Linked DNA regions of Lytechinus pictus. The protein of the gene in region 2 interacts with the protein of the main gene of each other region in a pairwise test. Links are inferred from orthologs where the notes say so. Each region holds a gene or a part of one and is shown on either strand. Other genes may lie near its edges.

Evidence for each region.
Region 1: the proteins of general transcription factor IIE subunit 1-like (region 2) and transcription initiation factor IIE subunit beta-like interact in a two-hybrid assay, tested with the Drosophila melanogaster proteins (2 studies listed by BioGRID). The link is inferred for Lytechinus pictus from reciprocal best matches to the Drosophila melanogaster genes TfIIEalpha and TfIIEbeta.

The regions. Positions count from the first base shown.
Region 1 is NC_087247.1:27,123,469-27,132,569, reverse strand, and holds the start of transcription initiation factor IIE subunit beta-like, read right to left. Parts: upstream 4,518-9,101; 5' UTR 4,429-4,517; intron 2,800-4,428; 5' UTR 2,776-2,799; coding exon 2,628-2,775; intron 1,961-2,627; coding exon 1,863-1,960; intron 922-1,862; coding exon 814-921; intron 39-813; coding exon 1-38. Other genes in the region: uncharacterized protein LOC129257518, read left to right, coding at 4,734-4,900, 6,307-6,529, 7,423-7,479, 9,076-9,101.
Region 2 is NC_087248.1:6,412,588-6,422,408, forward strand, and holds the start of general transcription factor IIE subunit 1-like, read left to right. Parts: upstream 1-5,351; 5' UTR 5,352-5,457; intron 5,458-5,878; exon of another isoform or gene 5,879-5,958; intron 5,959-9,821.

The DNA.
Region 1 (9,101 bases), on a different chromosome or scaffold from region 2:
CCATCCTCAAAGTTGACCTTCGGGTTGTTGGGCAAGGCCTGTAAACAGAATACAAAAATAGTAATGATGGCTTCTCAAATAAGCAATACAGAATTAAGTTCATATGTAGACTTACAATTTCATCCAGGGAATGGTTTCCCATCTGTTGCCCCTTATAATTGAATTTAAGTGGTTGATAGTAAACTTGTTATAGAAATTTGTTATAAAACAAGTCTTTGTGAAACAGGACCCAGAATTGTCTCTCTGGCATTCATCAAAAATTTGGTGGGACTTCTGTCCTTTAACAATGTAGAAGAAAAAAAAAATTGTATCCAAAATCGGGGGAGGGGGGAATGCCCAGGCTGATTACCTGTCTATTTTGCAGGCTGCAGCTACAAAGATTGGTTTGTCAAAACAATCTAAATCTGTGCCGCGTCTTACAAAGAGTTACAATTGATCCAATCAACCACAACTATGGATAGCCAGCAAAGTCATTATCTAAAATGCTTGTTTGTTCGAAATATTTTCTAGATATGATGTGTATTTGTACATTTATTGTTTTCTTGAAAATTCGGTCTGCTTCTCTTTGTTTACAAAGGACATAGTGCAAATTTCCTGAAGAAGTAATTATGATATTAATGGATTTCCATATACTTGAGGTTGATTGGATAAATCGTAACTCTTTGTAACACGGGGCCCTGGTCTGAATTTTTGTTGGCTTATCATGGAATTGTGGTTGAATTCATTCAAGACCCACACGATGATTGAAGCAGCAATTACGGTTTGTGCCTACACTTGGCTAATTTCAGACAATGTCCTATCAGGACTACCCACCTCATTGACCAGCCACATCTTCTGTTTCTGACCGACATCTTGCTGCTTGGTTTCATCCAGGATCTCATCAATGTTCAGTGGATAGAAGTCACCGTCCTGATACCGCGTCTGTACACCAGAAGATCAACAAAAGAGCAACAAAATTAAAAATCACAAAAACACTAGAAACGTTCCATTTGATGGTGAAGGTAGTTTTTTTTTATTAAAATGGCAAAATTTCTTAAATAAATATAATAAACCACACTATAAGTAAGACATTTAGACTTCAGGACAATCAATCAGAACCAACATCAATCAAAATTTTTAGTATAGGTATGTTATGTCATGATACGCAAACACGAGGCCTGTTTCGTAAAGAGTTATAGCTTTAATAACTTCTTTGCCATTATTGTAACTACCATGGAAACATCGATTGTGCTTGGCTGATGAGCCTAGTATCATGGTAGTTGTCCTAATGGCAAAGTTACCTACATGTAGTTTGCAAGTCTTTATGAAACAGGCTAAAGGTGTTGCATAAAGCTGTTCATAAGTTCCCTTAGAATTTACACAAGACTTTACACAACTGGTAACACTTTTGTGTGTTAATAAGATGTGAACACTAAATTTTCCATTTATTAGATAATGGAAGCGCATTTCCTAGAACCCTAATTACATATGGATGCAGAGAGAAGAAGGGACAGGAAGAAAATGGGAAAGGAAATCAGGGACAGAAAGAGTGAGGTAGAGAGATAAAGAGAGCGAGAGAAACTGAGACAGAGAGGATGAGAAAAAAATTGGGGAGAATAATCATTACTAGTGTAAAAATGTTAACTGTAACCACAAAAATTCAACATACACAAAGACTGACATATATCTGAAATGCAAGGTGTAATGAGCACCCCATCTGGAACAAAATGTTTGCTGCAAACAGGTGACACACATGTAAGCTTGAATAAAGCCCATCAAAATCAACACCAACAATCCAATTGAACAATCAATTATTATATAGGTCAAATGTACAATTTTTTTACAGAAAAAAAGGTTGATACATATGCATTTCTCAAACTTACCTTCATAAAGTTTACAATTTTTGCCAGGATGCCAAACTTATATTTGGAACTACCAGCATGGGTCTTGTAATTCAGGCCTGTTGACAATCGACTAGAACCTTAAAAAAAAAAAAAATCCAAAGAAATATTAAAACCTGATTTATCCTGGTTATTGTGTTTTTTGCTCAAGATGGGAAACTCACTTTTTATTTTTTGGTCTGTGATGGTATTCTATCCCAATTCACTTGTTTTTAGTTATAAAATTCACAAAAACATCATGCTTAACATACAGAGCATATCATTACAATTCATCACATATCGTTACATACCCGAAACATATAGAACAGCAGAATGGTTTTCAACCAATAAATTAATGCAATTCAGACAACAACTTAATGCTCCTGCAGTGATTTCTAAACCGAAGAGACCGAGTTACTTTAATCACTTGTAAACAACGCACTCAAACAACTATTAAAGGATTATGGAGGCTATTTTCCTACTCCTAGAAAACTCACTGTGATTTCTAATGCAAATTCATAGGGTCGTTTGAAATGTGTTGGGAACCAATCACTGTTTGAATCCCATGTACCTTTTTTCCTGCTAATGCAAATTATACAGTATCAGCTTCAGGGCCCATACAGATCTGTAATTGATCATGGGGCTCATTTTTACAACTGATCACACACAATAATCAATGCAATCTATCAAAGAAATCAGCCTAATAATCAATTGCTTAGCTTTATGTTACCAGTCCCAAGTTTGAGATAATTAACTACATAGGCCTACCTGGTTCTGAAAATCCGGGGCCTGGCTTTTTTTTCTTTGGGGGTGGTTCGTTGGAAAATCCAGTTTTCGGTCTCTTCTTCTCAATGACAGGTTGGGATTTTGCTCTCTTCAAGAACGCTTCCCTTTCTCTCAGAAGTGCTTGATCCATTCTGGTTACGCTTGTAAAGAAATCCTATACCAAAAGAAGATAAGAAAGGCATGTAAATCTAATTTTATAATATACTGAGATGAGCAGGATTTTTAACTTTAGGCTCCATGTCAAGGACTGTTAATTGCACAGCAAAAAATGTGTGCACATTCCATTATTAATTTATACTGCCTAGACCAAATCTTTGCCTTTGGTATTTCATGTTTTTAATTTTGAGGGCAAATATGAGCTATCTGTTCTCTAACTTCTCTTACCAACAATCTTTGCCAAATTCAAATTTACTTTTCTTTTTGCATTTCATTGCCATGCACATGGCATGCCATTGGATAGACCAAAAGCTTCAGTCTCTGTATTTTGGTTGTTCCGCTGAACTACGTTGGCTCCACTCACCATACATAGACTGAAGGGGATGGGGCCCCGTACCTACAGCCAACGTATAGTGAACTAGCGTTTTATAGATCGCGATTTAAAACTGTTTTTTAAGCAAAATTGAAAGTTTAATGGTTTCCATTATCAGGTAAATATAAATAACTTAAGTAATTGCATACCTTGGGCCGGAGTTATTGAAAAAAATCCTCTGGATGATTGAGAAATCTGTCATCTAAGACATTTTCACCTGACCTGATGGTTTTTCTTGCAAGTTGCCATCTTGAATGACGTCATTATCGTATTAACTTAATGTCTCGAATCGATATATCGCGATTATAACTAGTACTAGTACTAGTATAACTAGTATCGTTTATCTTCGGTTTCGTTCGCATATGGAGCAGATCGTATAATATCGAAAGCAATATCGATATCACATTCGTGATTGTTGACGTTCGTTTGTAAATATTTTATAGTTTGGCTGCCATTTTGACCATTTTTATCGTGTTCAACCCAATTAAACATCGGTAAAGTATATTTTTCATGCCTTTTTCATCTATATCGTTTAAAGTATTTAAATGTTAAAATATAAAGTTTTAAAAGTTTGTTGTTTATACATCCTTAGATTGTAAATTCGATGTGTAAAATTACATCAAACTTTGGACTGTGAATTGACAAAAGGGAGGGAATGAGAACACATGCGAGCCCACACGTACACCCTACCGTCGGTAAATGGGGATTACAGTAAAATGTCAGAAATTGTTGAATAAATCCCCAGAAACGACGGTTATTCCTGTCTAGCCATTGGATGCCTTTTTTTTTTTTAACTTCATTTTTTGACATTGTCATTGTTCAACAACGTTTTGTATGATTTGCAATGGCCATGCCCATGGCATGAAAAAAACCCATCTTTTTGGGATCTTATTATAAGATTTTTGTGGGTCAGCTTTGCAAGACGAAAGCATTAAGTCTTTAAGAATCGATTTGAGTGTAGCCCTTAATGGAAAGTACCCAAATGCAACAGTTACCCCTCGCGAGCCGAGTCTACACATCATTGTCCGACCTCCGCCGCCGGAGCCTTCGGCGGCGGCGGCGGCGGTGGCTCTCCTTGTCCAGGCTTGAGTCCTTCGCCTTCCGTGAAAAGATTGCCCTAAGGCCTAACGTTACGTCTTTTCTTAGTAAGGTTTTTCCTAAATTTCCAAGGCATCTGTACAACAAACCACACAATTTATAATATTCGATAATTCTAATTATTTCAAATACAATGTTTTCATGGTTGATACTCACCCAAGAAACGAATACAACGTTTTAATTCTATCAAAAATCGATGCAGTTCCTAATTCCTTCCTTCATTTATAGCTAGGCTTATGTATGTAGGCTACTCTCGAGGCGCAGGCGGGTTAATGTCAATTGATTTCCTTATTTTTAATATAATCACTGTAGAATACTAGATTAGTAAATTATCAATTTTGTATATTGATTATTATGCTCACAGAGTCGAAAAATGTCTCATAATCATATTCTAAAAGGACATTTAATTACTTTTAAAGATAACAAATCTAAAGTTAGTTTGGCGTGAAGACTAGTCTTAGATGAAAATGGCTTCGTCCACGGATACCAAAACAGGGCTTGCTTATCTTTATTTTCGTCGTATTCATGTCAAAAGAGTGATTTGGTGCTTGTTCATCACTCTAACAATATCTTTAGTGCTTATGTACATGAATGTTGTGTCTATTCTAGACAAGGAGAATAATGGAAGGTAAGTTCAGCTCACTAAAGGTAAATGGTTTGAAGGGGTGTCTGTGTGATTATTGGGTGATGATGATGATGATAATGCCATCTGTGCATGTGCTCGCATTGAATGAAGTTGTGTGTAGTGGAGGAGGTGGATGCCTGCCCGGTGATGGGCGGTGCATCTAATTGCAGGTGGTGGATGGAGGTGGAACTTGAGTTGGGTAGTGTTTGTACAGTTGCAGTAGATGATTTAAATGTTATTGCTTGGATTGCTTGGATTATTTTTTAGAGAACTTAATAAAAATAAACTTGCCCACCATTAAGTAACTTGACTTTGGAATCTTATTTTAAAATAAAAGGGAAAAAAAATTGATCGAGACCAAAGTAGTATTGATCGAAAGGGAAGAATTGAATTTTTAAAAGTGCAATTTGAATCAATCATTATCATTTGTTATAAAATAGTTTTTGCCAATCATAGTATAATCAATAGAATTTAGAATTGGATGTTCAGTAGATGATAACATAGATTTTTAACCTATTTAATAATTAACATATATTTTTATTATTCATTAACCATTTATGTGTACATAAAACTCATGTGAACATTCTTAGTACCAGCATCTAGTTATAGTTTGATTATGAATGAATTAACATTTATTTACCCATTCATTCTTTCATTTAACATTCGCTCATTCATCATGCATTTATTTATGTATTCATTCGTCAATTCATTCATCTATCCATCCATCTTTTCATTCATTCATTTATCCGGGGGGGGGGGGGGGGGTACTTGACCCAAAGAGTGGTAGGTATGTGCCGCGGGCAAGACAAAAACGGGGGCTCTGGAGCGGGTTTATTGTAAAAAGGAGGGTCCTCGGAACAGGCTTCAGAACTACAAATGTTTGTGAAAACGGGGGTCTTTGGAACGAGTCGCCTGCGTGTGAGTGTGTATGCATCCCTATGGAACGTGCATGCAGCTAGCCCGGCGGTGCGGCACGGGCGCCGGTTGCGCTCACACAGAGCTAGAGGCAATGGTCAAACAGCAGTTTTCACCAAAATTGCATCTCATTGTAGCAGATCAATGCGGCCGGAATGGCGTAACGAAAAATATGCGAAGCTTTGGAGCGGATTTCTTTCTTCTTTTTTCTCGATAAGAAGAAAATGCTATGCTTTAATTGGAGTGGCTTTCTTTGTTCTTTTTCTCAATAAGATAAAATAAAAACAGAAATTTGAGTGTACAAATGGGAGTCCCCTCCGCGGCACATACCCATATCGCATTATATACTGAGTGCCCCCCCCCCCCCCCGGGTTATTTATTCATCCATCCATCCATTCATTCAACTTACCAATCAAAATTATGCATGAGCAAGTAGGAACAGTACTATCACTAACTAAACTGCCAATATGCACATGTCTGATTGAATTCTCAAGAGTCTACAAAGATCTGTTTGAGAGCAGACAGGACCAAAAGTACGATACTGAAGACCAGGATGACTTTGGCAACCTGGGTGACCTGCAGGAAAGGTCAACAAACTTGTTATCGAGTCGGATCATCGAATCGTCAGAGATAAGCATTGATGGTTGGTGGATGTCTCACGCAAGGTGGGATTATGAAGTGGACTGTGATGCGGGGAGAAGAGGACTTTGTGCAAAGGTACTGCTCCTGCCCAGTGTTCCTGTTAAATAGCACTATTCCTATTTTTGAAAAGAAGAACATTGCCATTTTAAGTCATATGTCCCTCTTTCTGTGAAAAAAAAAATCTTTAGCATAAAGAGGAAATTTAAGAATTTCCTGTTTCATAAAAATAGAAAGTTCTATTTTGGGGAAAAGAAACTTGCTCTGTTTAGTTAACCTTAGTAAGTTTACCTTAGGTTCCTATTTCTGTGAAAAAAAAATCTGTAGTAGGCCTATTGAATAGGAAAGTTTAAGTCTTCCTGTTCCTTGAAAGTTCTTCGTAATTTGTTCCTATTTTGGGCCTACATGGTTGGCACTTGACAGGTAGGTCTATGCTATTGCTTTTAAAATATATGATTCCTGGGGAAGTTTGACTTCGCATGATATTGTTTTAATACATCAGGGATGCATTTCTTGGAACAATTAATCTACTGAAATCCTTGCATCTGATTGGCTCATAACAAATTAGTTAAAAATTGCTGTCAAGATATGCTTCATGACACACTCCCTTTGCTATGTAGATTTTTTTCCTGACTTTCTTCTCAAATGAGTTTTTAATAGTTTCAATTAAGGTACCGGCCTGGGTATACTCTAATTTGCATCAAAGATATCTGCTAGTGTACTTAATCTAATTTATTTATGAAGTTCAAAATGCACATGATTATCAGCATTAGTATGATCTTAAGAGGAATCTAAATGCAATATTGATCTAGTATGTGAACAAAACATGTCTCAAGACCATAAACAAATGGAAAAGGTTAATATATATATATATATTTTTTTTTTCTTCATAAGTTTTATGTTTTACTGACACATTGTTTAGGTGTTAAGATTTTCATTCTGGTTTCTACTCCATGCATTAAACATGGCAGGTTCTTAAAGTAGGATGCAGCCCAGACAGTGTGAGGTCCATCTACCAATTCTTGCCTGTAAGTCATAAATTATTTGATATTTGTTGTTGAAATTTATTATTACCATTAGTGTCTGATAATGATAATGATGATGATGATGAAGATGAAGATGAAGAAGATGCTGCTGCTGCTGATGGTGATGATATGATAATGATGCTGCTGCTGCTGATGATGGTGATGATGATGGTGGTGATGATGATGATGATGATGATGAAGATGATGATGATGATGATGATGATGATGCTGCTGATGATGATGGTGATGATAATGGCAATGCTTATTGTACTTATGATGATGTTGATATTGATAACTTTCATGGTTTAGATGATGATGAGATGATGATAATGATGGGGAGGAGGATTAATATTAATAATAATAAGCTCTTATTTGCCCAAGGTAGCAACTTCAGCTATTAGCCAATCTTCCAGCGGGCCCTGCATTCATAATTTCCATCGTCCATTCTAATACATCGTTCATCTGACAAGAAAAGGGATCAAATGGTCCCATTTTTGTTATACAGTCTGACCTCTCTTATCCGGACACGGGACCAGCACCAATCCAGATAAGGGATTTATCCGGATCTGGGAGACCCAATATTAAATACACTCAGCTCCCCAACGGCGGTAGCGACACGCTATCTACATGTATTGTAGTGGGCGCGCGTACAGACAGTATTCTCTGCAGTGTCGGTGCAAATTATAGGCGGTATTTTTACGGAAATGAAATCGATCGAAGGCCCAAACTGTTGGATAATTTACCTGCTAAAATGGTTGAGGTATACATCGAGCATACCTCGAAAGAAAGAGAATGACTCGATGAAACAAAGTTTTATGATTAGATCATCGCGGCGGGTATCGCAGCTTCGCAATGTCAGCCATTGTTATACTGACTGTAGGCTCAAACATGATAGATGGCGCTGTCCGTATTAAGGCCTATAGTGTAAGCTAGCGAGACATGTGTTGTTTTTCTTGGGAAACAAAAAGAGAACATGATCAAATATTGCTATGCGCCCTTATTTACTGGAAAATTATCCTGCCTAAGTTCTTTCTGTGATTTAGGTGAGATATTTTCATGAAAAATAATGTTGTTGTATGTAGACTATATTGGAAAATATATGTAATCAAAGTGAGTTTGCGTATAGGAATGAGTTTAGATTCAAATCTCATTTCCTCAAGTACTAGATTGAATTGAAAAAAAAAATCTCGGCAAGTGTGCGTCCGGATAATAGAGAGATCCGGATAACGGGAGGCCGGATAAGAGAGGTCGGACTGTGTGAAATTGAGTGGATATATCGAGATTTCACTTGAAATTAAGTTCCATACATTTGTTCAATTTAGTGTCAATTATAATTTGTGTTATATTAGGAAGATCTGATTAAGAACATGAATGAATGAAAATGAATGAGTGAGTGAGTGAGTGAGTGAGTGAATGAATGAATGAATGAATGAATGAATGAATGAATGAACAATCAATTAAGCAATGAGTAATAGTATTAATCAAGGAATGGATATATTGTAATTTGTTTAACAATGAATCAAATGAAAGGTGAATTGCCAAATAAAAATTGATTTATAAAAGATGAAATTAATTTCATGGTTTCTTTTCTTTTGGCAGGTTAATCCACATGTCAGGTTAAAAAG
Region 2 (9,821 bases):
ATGGAAATCTGGTGTATTCCTAATTGTTCTTGCGCTCCTCAAAACCTTTTTAAGATTTGCAAAAAAAATGTAAATGCGGAATGAGTCTGATATTAATAGCTAGCTGTGATGGACGAACTGCCTCTACATCTGATTGGTTGAAAAAAGAGTTGTCTTTTACAGTATCTTTTGAAGTACTCTGCAATGTGTTTGTGTTTGCAAGCATGTGTATGGGCAGCAGTCAGACTGCCACCTTGCATGTAATGTTATGTAGTGATTGCAGACATCTTTTTAATGTATACAGTTAAGACCCATATGTTTGATGTCTAGACTACCCTTTTAAAACCATAATTGTCAATAGTTCCCAGCACCTCTAATCATAGAACAAAGAACTGCCTCCCCCTTCCCAAAAGCAAACCCCCTTTTGACCTGTATAGCCAAACCTCTAGATTATAATTTGTGTTGAGCAAATGCCTCGGCCATGGTAGGGATGTACCTAAGAGCTCGGGGAGAAAATGTTCTGGACCTCACAGTCTGAACGTCCATTTCCTGACAATCTGTATTGATTTCACATCTATATTTATGATCAAAGTCATATTTGGCATTCAACATGGTGAAAATTTGGTTACACTTCGTAATTTCGAAGGTTCGTAATTCCGAAACACGTAAATTGCCTATACCTCGATGTTCGTTAATCCGAAAACGAAAAAAGGGTTCGTTAATCCGAACATTTGTGGCGTAATTCCGAAGGTTCGTTATTCCGAAGGTTCGATAATCCGAAAACGAAATAAGGTTCGTTGTTCCGAAGGTTTGTTAATCCGAAAACGAAATAAGGTTCGTTGTTCCGAAGGTTCGTTAATCCGAAAACGATATAAGGTTCGTTTTTCCGAAGGTTCGATAATCCAAAAACGGAATAAGGTTCGTTGTTCTGAAGGTTCGTTAATCTGAAAACGATATAAGGTTCGTTGTTCCGAAGGTTCGTTAATCCGAAAACAAAAAAGGTTCGTTGTTCCGAAGGTTCGTTTATCCGAAAACGAAATAAGGTTCGTTGTTCCGAAGGTTCGTTCATCCGAAAACGAAATAAGATTTGTTATTCCGAAGGTTCGTTAATCCGAACACGAAATAAGGTTCTTTATTCCGAAGGTTCGTTAATCCGAAAAATGAAAACCAGGAAAGCAGAGGAAGGGCAAGTGTGGTGGGGGGGGGGGGGAGAAACACCGTTGCTGTTCAATTGTTATGAGGATGGGAAGGCAAGGGCGGCCGAACGAATTTTCATTTGGGGGGCAAAGCCAAAAATGACACTCGTACGTCAAAATGGGCACTTTGGTGATATTTTCACCACGAGATTATAATCTGCGTAAAGTCATTGTGTGTTTTGTAGTAATTAAGTTGAGCAAAGGTTTTTTAATTGATTTCTGATTGATAAGATATACATTTAGGTTCTATTTTTCACGAGCAAGCGTAGCAAGCAAGCAGTTTGGAAAAAATTCAAATCTGAAGTTGTAAAACTCGCTTTTTAGTCAATTATGGACCTTATTGCTGTTAATTATTAAAGGGCATCCTTGTGAGATTTTGCGAGCGAATCACGAGCTCAAACTTTTGGAAATTTCCTGTAGGCCTAATAAGACATAATGATAATAATATTGGTATTATTTACCCAGGGAAGCCACTTCAGTTCAGAAAACTGTTCTCCCAGCGGGCCCTGCTATTATTACCCCGGCTTTAACTGGGCTGCCTAGGCGCCCAAAGGAAGGCATTTAAAGAATTTCTTCCTACCGGGTACCCAGGCCATTCACCTCACCTGGGTTGAGTGCAGCAAGGTGTGGATAAATTTCTTGCTGAAGGAAATTACGCCTTGGCTGGGATTTGAACCTACGACCCTCTATTTCATAGTCAGAAGACTAATCCATTATTGGGCCACAACGCCCCACATAAAAAAAGTAAACATTCCGAGCATTTTTTGTAATCATGAAAAAAGGATTAACATTGTTAACACTAGGCGTAACGATCAATAAAATTGTATTAACATTTATATTCTTTATTACCATTTTTATTATGATCATCGTTTGGATTATTATGATCATCATTAGTATTATTTTTATTACCAGCAGAAGCTCTTATTAAAAATGGCATCCCCTCCAATACAAATCCTATTACTGCTTAAGCAGCAATTGCTCAGATAAAATCGAAATTAAGCCTTTGCTTGATCTGGGCGCCTATTCTTAATGCAATACATGCTCTGGCCACAACACACACATGTATCATCGTTCGTTATTACTATTATTGCATAATATCCTGTTATCTTGTAATGACAACAGCGTTCTTGTTAACAAAATGAAATAATTTCAGTTTCGGAAATACGAACCTTATTCAATTTTCAGATTAACAAACCTTATGTCGTTTTCGGACTAACGAACCTTCGGATTTACGAACTTTATTTCGTTTTCGGACTAACGAACCTTCGGAATTACGAACCTCATTTTGTTTTCGGACTAACGAACCTTCGGAATTACGAACCTCATTTCGTTTTCGAATTAACTGACCTTCGGAATTACAAACTTCATTTCATTTTCGGACTAACGAACCTTTGGAATTACGAACCTTTCGGAATACGAACCTTCGGAATAACGAACCTTCAGAATATCCAAACCTTCGGAATAACGAATCCCAAGACAATGGTGATGAGCTATCTGAACATGGTTTATTGCACTGTCTGGCAGCAGCAAAGTCGTCTGTTCAAAATTCTTCTGCAATCTTTAGCGAGAAAATGCATGGGTTTAGGAGACGTGATTGAATTATATACATGTACATATAGTAAGACAACATGTGCATCATATTCAGTGTAAGATGTCCTTTGATATGACTTTGGATTTTTAAAGTTCAAAATAAAAAAAAATCATGAAGTGTTTAACCTCCGACCATGCCTGCAGGACAGGCACACGGTTCCTAGTGCTCAGTCTGTCATCATGTGGCACATTGTAGGTCAAGAACATATTCATTGGTGTCATTTTTTTCATAAATTCATTAATTGCTATGCGCTCTGTAGCTTGAACCATTAAACTTTAAGGCTTTTTCATGACATTAATTTGCACATTTGAAACTCAGTAGATTATTTTTTTCTTAAATTTTGTGTTTTCATGGTGGTGGGGCATGAATGCAAAGTAGGAAAATTAAATTTTTGAATCAACAAAAACATTAAGTACTTTGTAGTAAAACCATTAGATATGGTGACGGGAATAGATGAATCAATCTAATTTTATTATCATCATTTAGCAGTAGAAGCAATACGCAAGACTAATATAGAAGTAGCAGCAGTAGTTATTTTTAGTCATGTAGATGTAGAAGATATAGAAATAGATGTAGAAGTTGTAGTAATAGTAGTAATAGTAGGAGTAGTAGTAGATATTAAGCTTTCGCTTTTATCAAGATTATATTCAATTAATCGCTGTTGTGATAGTTAGATACAGCATGGTTTCTAATAATCTAAACTTCTCATCCTGTATCCCACTCTTCCTCCCTAAAAAGTATGGTAAAAAACCTGCAAATGGGTTTGAGATGTTGATATACTTGATGTCATTAACTTTTCTTTAGCTTTGGCAATATCAAGTTCATTTTTAATGTAATACTGCAATAGGTTTAAGTCATTTTCTTGTTGGTTATGATACTGGTAACTAATGTAGGATGGGGGGTCGGGTGTCTGAAAACTTAAAGGGGAATGAAACCTTTGGAACAAATGGGCTTGTGTGGAAAGAAAAAAATCAAATAAGATCTAAGAAAGTTTGAGAAAAATCTGAAAAATAATGAGAAAGTTATGAGCATTTGAAATTTTGAATATTGCGATCACTAATGCTATGGAGATCCACCCTATTGGCAATGCAACAAAGATGTGTGATATCACATGTGAACAACTTTCCCTGTAAGGTACTATAAAATACCCCTAAAATGTCCTTTTTTGCTCTTTCTTACAGTGATACAAACTCTTTATCCATAATGTATTCTTTAAAAATCAATATTACATGCCCTCTTATAGAAATAATACATGATCTACTGATAGATGTGATAAAAGAGGCAGTTTAAGTGAAATATATAGAAAAGTAATGGTAAAGTTGTTCACAAGTGGCATCACACATCTTTGTTGCATTGCCAATGGGAGGATCTACATTATGATAATTATCTTAACTTCAAATGCTCATAACTTTATTATTTATTCAATTTTTCTCAAACTTTTGTTGATCTGTTTTTGATTTTTTCTGTTTTAGCACAGGCTTTCTTGTTTCAAAGGTTTCATTTTCCTTTAATGGCTGTTAAAAATCTATTGTACGGACACATGATAGCTCAGTCGGTAGAGCGGGGGTTTCGGATTCCGGTGTCCCGGGTTCTATTCCCAAATGGTGCGCTAGTGCCCTTTGGTAAGACATTTATCCTCTTTACCAGGTCCCTCGGAGAGGACCTTAAGCCGTTGGTCCCCTGGTTGCTTGCTCACAGGCATTCGTGCTTTCTTAGCAGTCAGGTAAAAACCTCGGTATAACAAAGTATAACAACCTGTCCGGGCATACACTAGGCCTAGTATCATGGATCCAAGAGCCTCAAACAAAAACATGGAGATTATACTCAAAGTGGAAAGGAGATTTGCATGCATTAGTATAAGCCAGTTCACGGTTAGCTCATGATCAACTTTTCTCAAATGACCTTTGTGATTTTTCATTAGGATAAGCACTATCATTTTCAAATGTAGATGTTGCGTAAGCTTTACCGGTAGAGTATTCAAATTCTAAGAACAAAAGGCATTGTATAGACCACCAGTGCACCAGGGTGACTAGAAAAGTACATCGGTTATAAAATTTGGAAATCTGTTTTATTGTCTGCCCTTGGCACATTTGACTATTGTTTAGGCTACTGTCAAATACCAGTGATTATGAAGGCTCTATTTATTACTCTTCAGCTTGGATGTGATAAAAAGAAATATTTTGAAAGGAATACATGATTCATGAATAATCATCAAATCACAAATGCCTATGTCAGTGAATTTGAAAGCCACCTTCATGGTTTATCTCAAATGACTTTTTTCTACTCGTGCGCAGTTTACAACCGTGAACAGGCTTATTGTGTAGCTGGATCGCATGCATGCCAGGCATTTTAATTGTAATGAAACGCCTGCCGTCTTCGCTGGTCATGCTGGTTATCAGAGTGAAAATGGATACAGGGAGTTACACACGTGGGACTGAAGTAATGAGTCATCATATGCTTGTAAGTTGTAACCGCAATCGAACGTTTGGGTTTAATTAAAATGACAGTTTTTGCCTCTTGATAAAATGATTAAGGGCTTTTGCTTTTCTCGATTTCACCCAAAATTCGTACTATTTATTTGTTTTCATAGAATAGTCTGTAGCTGTAGGAAAACATCGTCTCCCTCCCGAGTTTCGTGCGGAAAATGACATCCTCGCTGCGCTGCCTCACAGTCGGAGCTTGACCAATCAGGTAATTGCGTTTTCGGCAATCATTCGAAATCGTCATATTCGTCAGACAATCATAGTTTTCATATTATTTGATCCTACAAAACTGATCATGTCGTTTTAAAAGAAGAACTCTTGGTATTTTGATTTCGAATGATATAATATGACTCTATTAAACCTTGTTACGCTTTTCTGCGTTCATGGTCAACAGCAGGGGCAGTCTGCTTTCACAGACGTATCACGCATTCATGTCACGTGTGCCAAGCGAGGGTCTAACACGTACCTGGGACATTTCCAACTTCGATTTCGTCACCATAATTATTTTTAGAAATGCAGTTAATCGACAAAGAACCTCACATCACTCTGCACATACATGTACACAATCACCCTCAGATAAAAAGATTAATTTAAATATTTGATAATATGAATTACTGTAAAAATTTTACCCAACAGGCCCAATGTTTACCTCCTTCTTGCTTGCTTGCGATGTGATCACTGACCTCTTCATCATGTGCATGTGATATGCGGCGCGGCGTGGTTTAAAATTAGCATTTTTCAAAATAAAACGATGGCGCTCTTCTGTGCATCTAGTTAAAGGACAAGTCAATCCCAACCAAAAGTGGATTTGAATAAAAAGGGAAAAAATCCAACAAGCGTAATACTTAATTTTCGTGAAAATTGGACGTAAAATAAGACAAAGTTATGACATTTTTAAAGGGGATGTTTACCCTGACAAAAAGTTTATTGTAAATATAGCAGAAAAAAAATGAGTGAAGGTTTGAGGGAAAATCTATCAAAGATTTAAAAAGTTATTAGTATTTTCACGTTTTTTATTTGTGTCGTCATGTGTGAGCAGCTTCCAATATATCATGGATTGAAAAAAAATCAATAAAATTTCATTTTTCTCAAGAAATTGAAGATATTTTTTATTGCACCTTCAGTATATCAACTTCAGAAAATTTTGTGTCACACCTGCTCCTGAGAGAAAAAAAGAATCAGTCATCACGAGCTATTAAAATAGAAATTTATGCATTTAAATTACATAACAAATTATAAACTAATTCAAAAATATAGAAGTGATCGCCTATAGGAGGTGGTGTATGTATATCAAGGATAATGTCACTTTCAAGCTGATGACTGATTTATACTTTTGTACCTCAACTATTGATACTGCCGGTCTTTATTGAAATCATGAAGGAACTTCAGAATTTGATTGTTGGAACTGTATACAAAGCTCCCGATACTAGTGGTGTTGAGTTTAATGACCTTTTTTTAAGCATGTCAAAGAAAAGAAACACTGTTATATTGATGGTGACTTTAACTTTGATTTACTTAGTTATGCCCTTCATTCTGATACTAGTGCTTTCATCGACACAATATTCATCGGGCTTCATCCTCTTTTCCCCACTTATCTCGAGACCAACTCGTGGTACAATCAATTATTCTACTTGTATTGATAATATCTTTACAAATGTGCTGGATAAGGCGATCCTACCTGGTATTTTCTATTCAGACCTATCTGACCATTTCCCCATATTTCAATTAACGAACTATTTTCCACCAAGTTACCACACCCATTTGAATAATAAAACCCACGCTTAACACCAGTCTTAGCATGTAACAAGTTGTCCTCTGCGACAACCTTATCCAATGTCAACGTAGCTTACGAAACTTTTGTTAAGGGTTTGAAAGAGATTATATCGCAAGTATTCAAGGACATCACCCGGTAAAGATAGAATTAGAGCACACACAAAAAACCTGGATTACAAAAGGCATTCTTAAATCCATTAGTAAGAAGGAACGCTTATTTAAGCAGTATTTAAAACTGAAAATCCATAACATGAAGAAAAAAATACACATCCTATAAAAACAAACTTATTCATATTATTCGTGTCTTTAAACAAAAATATTTTGCTGCAAAACTCAAATCGAAAACTTGGAAAATTCCTAACAGCCTGCTCGGTAAAGAACCTTCATTCATCCGTAAAGATGCATGGCGCGTGAGGCTGAACAGAAATCAATTGCAAATGCTTTTAACTCTTTTTTTTTGTTAATGATGGTTGTGTTGATAATACGAGGTCCATTAGATGTTTTCGTGATTATTCAACTCACTCCTTTTTTATTTTTCATCTACAGACAGAAACGGAATTTTTAAGAATTGAAGGTATCTGGCTCTTTAAGAAATAAACATTTCTGTGGGGTTGATGATATGCCACCATTTCTTGTAAAGAAAATAATCATAATTGTTGAACCTTTAACCCACGTGTTTAATTTATCGTTTCAATCTGGACCATTTCCAAATTCAATGAATGTTTCAAAAGTTATAGCCCTATTAAAAAGGTTGACAAAAAAGATTTATCAAACTATCGTCCAATTTAATTGCTGTCCAACCTTTTTTTTTATTCTAGAAAAATATGCAATCGATTATTTACTTTCCTGAATAATTCATTTATTTTCGGAGCAATATGATTTCGAAAATTTTATTATACAGAGTGAGCTTTGCTTTTTGCTTCTGAACTTCTGTACAAATTCAACGAAAAGAAAGAGATAGCTTTGGGGGTCTACGTAGACCTTAGCAAAGCATTCGATTGTCTGGATCACCAAATCTTATAAAAAAAATAATTTTTATGGAATTAGAGGTATTCCCTTGGAATGGTTTAGAATTAATTTATCAAAAAGAATATATTTTTATACGACAAGGTGTGCCTCAAGGTAGTATATTATTATTTTCGTTGTTCATAAACGACATTGTTGAATCTTTAAAGAAATTACATTATAATATACTGTCGACACGAACATATTCCATTCAGGTATAACATTTAAAGACTTGATTTCTGAAGAAAATGTTGAACTGCAGAATGTTGCTAATTGGTTTTCTGCAAATAAATTGAAAATTAATGAAACGGGGGAAAAAAAAAATATATATATTGAATACATAATTTTAAAATTGGACGGTAAATATATCAACCAAGTTCAATTTGCAAATTTCTTAGGTATAACTATAATAAACTTTTGTGGGAAAAACATATTGAAATAATTTCCAAGAAGATTCGATGTAATTCGGTGTAATTTAAAAAGTTTTTTTACCATCCTCTGCCATGCTTTCTCTATATCATACACTTGTATATCCGTACTTAATGTATTGTAATCTTATATGGGCAAGAACATTTGTTAAATTTTTAAAAACCCTTTTCATACTTCAAAAACGGGATGTTCGTTGATGCTGCAACGCCTCCTTCAGGGCACATACCTCTCCTTTGTTTAAATCTTTGAAATTACTTAAATTTGCAGATATTCTTTCCCAAGGCACATCTTTATTTACGTATAAACTAAAATATATGTTACCATATACTTATAATGACAGTTTTCGTTTTCATTAAGTCACACAATAATGAAAAACACAAAATTTACAATTTTTTTTTTACAAAATAGATAAATTAGATTTTGTATCTAATTTTATTGTATTATTGTATTTCATTATTTTGTATCTTGAGGGTTGCTTGTTTACAGGTTTTTTACTTTTTGCTAGCAATTCTGGTATTTTATGTACTACATTGTTTATGTCAATGATTGTATCTCGATTTTATCTTATACCAAATAAAATAATCTGAAGCTACTCGTATAATGACGTCACAAATCAAAAGCTTAAAATTCTCATAACTTTTTAGTCTTCAATGGATTTTCCTCATAAAGATTCACCAATAGTTTCAATGCTATATTTTTACAACACACTTTTCGTCAGGGTGAACTTTCCCTTTGATTCTCGCTTAATTTCACAAAACATTAATATTCTCATCCTGGTATGCAATGAGGGAACTGATGACGTCACCCACTCACTATTTTGTATTTTATTTTATTTTTATTTGTTGTCCTGAGGAACACAAGCCCACATGTCCTGATGGAGGAATAAAACGTATTTTTACCACTGTTTTACCATTTCATGGTTCGTAAATCTGTTTTTAAAAAATATTCAAAAATTAATAAAAGAGGGATATCATCGACTCATTTGCATCACACTGAGTTGTACGAATAATACATGAAATTTCCTTCACTCGAGAAAAGAGATCTGAATTTTGTGTTCAAAATAAGTCTCCTCTTATTAAAAAAATGATTTTCTGTCTTTTTTATGTGAAAACCTGGCGTCATGCTCGTTTGATTTTTTTCTATTTATTCGAATCAACATTTTTCTAGGGTGGAATTATGGCCTTTAAGTTTGGAGTTCTAAGATTGAACGCAGTTGTTTTCATTCTCATCTTTTTTCCTCTATTGGCGGAGCAAAAAAATAAAAAAAGGAAAAAGGAGGGAAAGGAGAGGAGAGAAAAGAAAAGAAGAGGAGGAAGACGAGTGAATAAAATAAGATGAGGGGAAGACTTGGAAAATAAAAAGAAT